Linked DNA regions of Macaca mulatta. The protein of the gene in region 1 binds, or shares a complex with, the protein of each later gene. Links are inferred from orthologs where the notes say so. Each region holds a gene or a part of one and is shown on either strand. Other genes may lie near its edges.

Region 1 (3,736 bases):
GGTAGGGATGCAAAAGGGAAGTTGAGGGCTTTCCCTAATAGAAAAAGAAAGACTCAGAACCTAGATGTTCAGGTGTATGACCTCAGACCAGTGATCTGGCATCTCTGAACCGCACAGGTCTGAGTGATTGGGTTTATACCAAGTAGTAGTTCCCTGATATTGCAGTGTGTTGTTTATTTATAATTTTGCCAAAGTTGTCTTGCCCATTTAAAATGAGCTATTCTGAAAACAGAGTAGGGAGTGGAATATTTTCAACAGAGAGTGCCGGCAAAGGGTTTGTGTCCTTCATATACAAAGAACTCTTAGAGATCAATAAGAAAAAGATAAACATGTCCCCAGAGGAGAAAAAAAAATGGGAACAGACTTGAGCAGGAGAGTCACACTAGAAATGTGGAAAATAAGTTTATAAAAGAGAATCAACACTAATAAATAAATGAAATACCTATTGAAGCATCTGGATAGTATTCTCAACTTCACATCAGGGAAGTTTTAAGGGATGGGTAGCAACAAGGTGGGTTTAGGACATGAGAATACTGTGCCCTGGTATAACATCATAGAGAGGTCAAGCTGTCACAGCCTTCCAAGATACAGTGTGACCAAAAGCTTAAAAAAGTCTCAAAAATAGGCAAACCTTAAATCTAGCAGTTTCTAAAAGGTATTCATAAGACACACACACAAAGATGTCATACTAAATAAAGTGTTCATTGCAGCACTGTTCTAATAGAAAAAAAAAAAAAAAGGAGAAGCAAGTCGATTATGGAAAAGTCAAATAATCTTAAGATACCCTTTCTATGCAGCCATGAAAAATGTATATTGGAAGAATATAGGTGATATGGAAGAAAGTTCACAATCTGCGGTTAAGCAGGTTACCAAACTAGATGTGGAAATGCACGTTCATATATTTACATGTGTGTCCTTGCTATTTCTTTAAACAGTGAGCATGCATTACTTTTGACATCTGAAGATAATAACAAAACTCTTCCTTTTGACAAATACGAAATTATAAAAGGAAACAAACTTTTCTCTCTGTTAGTATTCATTCCCCTTCCCTGGCCCCTCTCAGAAGACACCCAAGGCAAGTGTGTGAAGATACCTTTCCTCTGGTCTCTGCCCGGAAGGTCTTCCTGAGGGTTCCCTGTGACTGCAGGCCACTGGAGGCTGTTGGGGAGACTTGCACACCCTGGCTTCTTTCTCCAAATCACAGGTTCCTCTGGCTGTGGCTGTTTGCCCAGAAAGCAGTTCATTCATTTGTTCACTCAAGATCCCCCTCCGAACCCCCAGAGCGCTGCGGCTGGAGCACCCCTATCACCCGGGGGCTTCCCAGGGAGCCCGCTCTGTGCTGAGCTCCCTCCTGGCCGCCGGGCTGCTTCCCTGAATGGGACTGGGACAGAACTCAGCCAGAGAAACAGCTGGAGGGAGGAGAGCAAGAGGGAGGGGCAGGAAACTGGGCTGACCGAGGGCGGGGGCGGCTAGCTGCGTGGAGAAGGGGCTGCGAGGGGAGGGTGCCCTTACCAGCCGGGGACTGGGCTCGTGGGTGGCGGCGGGGGCCCGCTGGGGACGACCCGCCCCTCAGGCAGCCTCTTGCAGCTGGGAAGCTGAGCCTACTGAGCGCAAACCGGAGCACATGCGACCCCCGGCTGCTGGGGGAAATGCAAGCGCCTCTGCTCCCGGTGAGGGGCTCAAGCTCCACGCTGACCGACAGACTGGCTGCCTCTCACCCTGGGCCTTTGCAACGCTGTTCCTCCCACCTGGATGCTATTCCTGCCCTAATTCGTGGCCCGATGGTCTCCTACTGCCTCTTCAGGTCTCAGATTGACGATCACCTCCCAGGGAAGCCTTCCCCAACCCTCAGGGGCTGCTCTGCCCCTCAGGGTCACCCCATCACCTCATTGATGCAGTGCTGTCCTTGCCTGTTAAGGTGTCTCTCTCCTTGCACCAAGAACTCCTTACACCAGGAACTCTGTAGGGAAATAACTGTATTTGTTCCCTGCCCTAGCCAGGCACTAAGTGCTGGTTCATCAACTGTGTGGTCACCATCGTTAGTGGAATAATCAAAACAACTGAGAGCCAGGCAGCCTGCTAGGCAATGCGTACTTACACTTCACAGCAACCCTGGATAGCAGGAATTATTACTACCCCAGTCTTACCAATAAGGAAACTGGGGCACAGAGAGATTAAGTCACTTGCCCAAGACCACACCACCAGCAGTTGACAGAGCTGGGATTCCAACTATGCTGTCTGGCTCCAAGGCCCACCCTTGGCCCCAGACAGAAGAAATAACAGAAGTGCCCACTGTGGGCCCCTGTGCCAAGTGCTTCCGTGGAGTAAGCCATGTGAACCACCACCAACATCAGGGAGGCATCACTTGCCCATCCTACACGTGAGGATGCTGGAGCCACAGAGCAGAAGTCGTTTTGTCCAAGGCACCCAGCTCATGCTGACGGAGCCATGGCTGGATCTGAGTCTGTCTGATTCCAAAGCCAAGACTGCCTACGACTGCCTAAAATAATATTTTTAGAAAGGAAAAGAAAAGGGCAGGGCAGGGGAGGGGAAGAGAGGGGAAGGGAGGAGAAGAAAGAAAGGAAGAAAAGGGAGGGCAGGGAGGAAGGTAATGGGGAGGAGGGGAAGGTGAAGGGAGAGGGAGATGGGTAGGGAGGGAGAGAAGGAGAGAAACCTGTGTTTTGGGCTTCAAAGTCTTGGGCAGGTGGAGAATATGTCCTCATCGTCTGATTAGCCTTAGAACCCCACTGATCTCTCCCCACCATCCTCAATCCTTTAATTCAGTGAGCTTTACACTTAGAAACCATCTAATTTCATTCTTCCATTGTACAGATAACTTGAAGCCCAGAGAGATTGAGTCTCTTGCCCAAGGTCATACAGATCTCTACAGTCAGAAGTCTAGCCCAGTCTACCCAACTCTCTTCTTTCCTCTCTTCTTCTTTGGGCTTACCTAGGGTACAAAACATCTTATCAGAACACTTACTGTACAGATGAGAACGCTGAACCCGGAGGAGGCAAGGGACTCACCCAAGGTCACCAGAAGTTAGTAATTGTATTAGTCCATTCTCACACTACTGTGAAGAAATACCCAAGACTGGGTAATTTATAAAGAAAAAAGGTTTAATTGACTCACAGTTTTACATGGCGGGGGAGGCCTCAGGAAACTTACAATCATGGTGGAAGGTACCTCTTCACAGGGTGGCAGGAGAGACAATGAGTGCCAAGCAAAGGGGGAAGCCCCTTAGAAAACCATCAGATTTCATGAGAATTCACTCACTGTCATGAGAACAGGATGGGGAGAAAACCACCCCCATGTTCAATTCCCTCCCACCTGGTCCCTCCCATGACTCATGGGGATTATGGAATTCCAATTCAAGATGAGATTTGGGTCAGGACACAGAGCCAAATCACGTCATTCCCCAAGTTCTCCTGGTAAAAGGAGAGGATATTTCCATAACGTGGCAGGGATCCTGTATATCACCATCTAATAGAGACCAGAGATTCCTAAAGCCTAATTTCCAGACCAGCCCCAGCAGCCTCACCCGGAAGTTTGTTAGAAACACAAACCCTTGGCCGGGCGCGGTGGCTCAAGCCTGTAATCCCAGCACTTTGGGAGGCCGAGACAGGCGGATCACGAGGTCAGGAGATGGAGACCATCCTGGCTAACACGGTGAAACCCCGTCTCTACTAAAAAATACAAAAAACTAGCCAGGCGAGGTGGCGGGCACCTGTAGTC
Region 2 (3,736 bases), on another chromosome or scaffold:
AGTGTTTTTTGGGGTGAAATATTTTGGTTTCCTTCAAGTTCTTGGGCTGGGAAACATCTTTGGGTGTATCTTTTCTCTCTAACCCCATCTAAAGCTTTCAGGGAAGGCAGATCCCATCTCTTTCTGCTTAAGGAAGTCTGAGTAGCTCAAGCTGGGGAGTGAACTGCCCTAAGTAGTGGTGGGATTTCACGCACCCGGAAGTGGTTAATGGAAGTCGAGTTTCTTTCTGGTGCCCCCAGAGCACACTGTTAAGGAAGCTTTCAGCTCTAAGTGGAGAACCCTGGCCAGGGGTGCATAAGTAGGGGACAAAAGCCTTGTGCCCGGTACTAGACATCAGTTGCTTTTCATGTTTCCTCATTTAATCCTCAAAACAACTCCTTAAGACAGTTTCTGATCCCCATCTTACAGATAAACAGAAGTTCAGAGAGAGCCATGAAGTTACATGAGATCCTCTACTTCAGGTGATCCCTGTGCTGTGGGAACCAGAGGCATGGTGGTGGTGGTTACTGACATGCGAAGTCCCAGAGCTTCTTCGTCCTTGCTCCAGCATACCCCGGAGTCCAGCCGCTATTTGCACAGTTTTCCTTGGGTTTCCTCTCACTTTATGAATTCCATCATGCTGTTCTGCCACACCGGAAGGCTCCTCCACTCCCCATGAGAATCTACCCCACGGATAATGAGACACGAGGAATTGTCAGGAAAGGCAGATGCAGGATCCACACTGGACATCTTTGCTGTCGATCAAGGTTGCAGGCGCCAGAGTCCTCCCTAAAGGAGAGACCTTCCTTCTCAGTGTGGCTCAGGGAGTGGGAGGCGGGGACAGGGGTAGGGACCTCATCGAGGTCTCATTTGGTTTGAGGATGTCTGTATTTCGGGGAAGAAATCCCAGGATGAGTGTCTCAGGGACGCTGGGGAATGGTCCCCCGTAAAGGACCCAAGACAGGGCAGCCCTGCCTGGGCAGGAGTGGGGCACAGAAAGCCCCTGGGGGAGCAGAGCAGCGGAGAAGAGGCCCAGGCCGGCCGAGACCGCGGAATGCTCAGGCCGGAGCCAGAGGGAGGTGGGACCAAGGGCTGCGCGCCCGGGCTAGCCGCCTGCAGCCGCGGCCGGGGTCAGGGTCATGAGGGCTGGACTGAGGGGAGGGAGAGGGGTGGGATGGGGAGGAAGGGCGCGGGACGGCATCCCGCCCCAGAGGCCGGTCCCACGGGGCAGGGGAGGAGCCGGAGTTGCTGGAGAGGGTCCAGGAGGTGGGGGTGGGAGGAGGTGGGGGCCACCCCTCGAGAAAAGCGGGAAGAGGCAGACAGCGAGGCCAAGATTTCAGCTGCGGGACGGTAAGGGGAGACCTCCAGGCGCAGGGAAGGACGTGAGGAGGGGAAACGGGCTGGGGCGGCAGCCGGGCGGAGGGGCAGCTGCGCAGGCGGAATGACGAACGCCTTTGGTCTAAGGCGACCACCCTGGCAGCTCTTCACTGAGGGGGCCTCGGTTTCCACATCTGTCTCTTTCCGGTCCCAAGACCACCAGGACCGACGGGGCTCGCCGGGAGGGTCAGCCCCTCCGGTGGCCCCAGTCATGCATCAGGGGACTACTCAGAAGGGCTGGGAGAGGGGTCATGGGGAAGGCCCTAGAAAAAAGAGGAAGGAGGGAAGATTTTGCTTGAAGCGGGAAAGCCAAGGGCTGGGTGGCGCGAGACGCGCATTCCTAGCGACTGGGGCGGGCTGGTGGCCCGAGGCAGCCCCCGCGCGGGAGGGTGAGGCCTCCCACGGCTCCCACCCGTCGGGCCCTCCCACGTGTTTAGATCCTCCCAAAAGTATTCGACCTCCGACCCCTGCCCCTCCCCCAGGCTGGCCTGGACCTCGGAGACTGGGGACCCCGTGGGAGCACGATGATTCTGAACAGGGAGGGAGTCGCGGTCTGGGAGAAGGTTGAGCGGGGAAAGGAGAGAGGGGCTCCGGAGACGGCAGGGAGGAGAGGGGGTCGTGTCAGAGACCCAGGGAGAGGGAGAAAGGGCAAGATGAGGGGTGGAGGGTGGGAGTGGGAACTGACTGATTCCTGGCATGGGCAGGGAACTTTGCTAAAACTGCAGGCCCCAGGGAACAGCGCGGGCAGGGTGGAAGGGAGCGGAGAGGACCAGGAAGACCCCAAGATCAATTTGGAGAAAGGGCCATTTCCAGGCTCCTTCACCTCTGCCCAGCGTTCTACATGCCTGTCCCCCCCGCCGACCCCCCCGCCTTCCCCCCCGCCTTCCCCCGAGAGCAGGGCGCGGGAGTAGGCGGCTCGGGCTGGCTCGGAGAGCTGAAGGGCGCACACCCGCTTCGCAGGGCCGGAGTGACACGGAAGCATGCGACGGCTGCTGATCCCGCTGGCCCTGTGGCTGGGCGCGGTGGGCGTCGGCGTCGCGGAGCTCACAGAAGCCCAGCGCCGGGGCCTGCAGGTGGCCCTGGAGGAATTTCACAAGCACCCGCCCGTGCAGTGGGCCTTCCAGGAGACCGGTGTGGACAGCGCCGTGGACACGGTGAGTAAGCATGGCCCTGGCGGGAGCAGGGAGGCTCGCATCCCGGGAGACCAGCGCATTCCCAGGAAGCGAGACAGAAGTGCTTGGGCTCTGAGCCCCAGCCCTTTGGAGAAAAGGCCCCAGTCCAACCTGCTGGGATGTGACTGCGTGAGGGAGGCGCGGGTCACACCAGGGCTTGCTCTGCACGCTCAGCTGGTTACCGGCCATCCTCTGCCTGCCTGTCTGCAGCACTTCCCAGCTGGAATATTTGTGAGGCTGGAATTTAAGCTCCAGCAGACAAGCTGCCGGAAGAGGGACTGGAAGAAACCCGAGTGCAAAGTCAGGCCCAATGGGGTGAGTGAAGGGGTGTGAGAGCAATGGGCGCATGCTGGGTGTGAGTTCATGGACTTGGGGTTTGGCGTATGGGGCACATGCCTGGGTGTGCCTGCATAGAATTGGGAGGTCTATTAAGAAGCCCTGAGGTTAGAGACCCCACTGTGAGGAGCCTCCTTAGAGGTGGAGCGGCTCAGCCTGAGCCCAAGGTTGTGAGGGTGGTTGGTGGGGAGCTGGGGCCTGGCAGACAAGAAGAGGGTTTGGTTACCCCTGGACTTATCTTCATCAGAGCAGGGCTCACTTCTGTCTGAGTTCCTCTCTCAAGCTTCAGGGCCTGGGTGGAAGGAGCTCGCTGTGTGGATGTGTCTGGTGCCCTCCTAGCCTAGCAGGGCTCCAGTCATCAGCCACAGTGGGGGCAAACCCTCCAGCATGGGGGTGATGCCCGGGATGGGAGTGCAGTGACTGTTCTAGTTCCCACTCTGTGAGTACTGCCTGGGCTCTGTATTACAGGTTCTGTAAAGGCTCCAGTTCCCTCTGTCGGCTCAAGGAGGGCACTGGATTATAGCAATGATTCACCAACCTCAAATCAAATCTTACAAGAAAATGTAATAAACAGAATAGGTGACAGCTGAGCCACTCTGGAGGCGCTGGGTGGGAAGAACCCATCGGAGGAGGATTCTTGCCTTCACACGAGCACAAGTGGATACGTCCATGCATACATCACACACCCATCCACCCACACTCCTGCATACAAACCACATACATGTGTGTTCATGCATGTGCCACACAACCCATCTGGGAAGGACTCCTGCCTGCACACACACGAAAGTTCCATAGTTTGAAAACTGCATGGGTCTAACTTCTGACATTCTAGGGTGGGCTGTGCCTAAAACCTGCTGGCCTGCATGACCTCT

The links. The genes of interacting proteins can lie anywhere in the genome.
Region 2: the proteins of CMKLR1 (region 1) and RARRES2 are in contact, whole or in part, in a cryo-EM structure (PDB 8ZJG), measured with the Homo sapiens proteins. The link is inferred for Macaca mulatta from reciprocal best matches to the Homo sapiens genes CMKLR1 and RARRES2. Residues at the interface, in NP_001135815.1 of Homo sapiens: Asp20, Tyr21, Leu22, Asp23, Ser24, Ile25, Val26, Val27, Leu28, Phe88, Leu92, His95, Tyr103, His104, Asn116, Leu119, Ile120, Met123, Arg178, Leu183, His184, Gly185, Lys186, Ser188, Cys189, Phe190, Asn191, Trp203, Thr205, His217; in NP_002880.1 of Homo sapiens: Leu34, Phe37, His38, Phe60, Thr75, Ser76, Cys77, Arg96, Leu111, Gly112, Arg113, Leu114, Val115, His116, Cys117, Pro118, Ile119, Thr133, Leu136, Arg137, Gln139, Arg140, His146, Ser147, Phe148, Tyr149, Phe150, Pro151, Gly152, Gln153.

The regions. Positions count from the first base shown.
Region 1 is NC_133416.1:115,475,376-115,479,111, forward strand, and holds the start of CMKLR1 (chemerin-like receptor 1), read right to left. Parts: upstream 2,467-3,736; 5' UTR 2,370-2,466; intron 2,294-2,369; exon of another isoform or gene 1,961-2,293; 5' UTR 1,911-1,960; exon of another isoform or gene 1,886-1,910; intron 1,706-1,885; exon of another isoform or gene 1,513-1,705; intron 1,378-1,512; exon of another isoform or gene 1,094-1,377; intron 35-1,093; exon of another isoform or gene 1-34. UniProt on the Homo sapiens protein: Receptor for the chemoattractant adipokine chemerin/RARRES2 and for the omega-3 fatty acid derived molecule resolvin E1.
Region 2 is NC_133408.1:189,729,292-189,733,027, reverse strand, and holds the start of RARRES2 (retinoic acid receptor responder protein 2 precursor), read left to right. Parts: upstream 1-1,274; 5' UTR 1,275-1,329; exon of another isoform or gene 1,330-1,361; intron 1,362-1,778; exon of another isoform or gene 1,779-1,919; intron 1,920-2,316; 5' UTR 2,317-2,336; coding exon 2,337-2,510; intron 2,511-2,639; exon of another isoform or gene 2,640-2,738; coding exon 2,739-2,843; intron 2,844-3,736. UniProt on the Homo sapiens protein: Adipocyte-secreted protein (adipokine) that regulates adipogenesis, metabolism and inflammation through activation of the chemokine-like receptor 1 (CMKLR1). Also acts as a ligand for CMKLR2.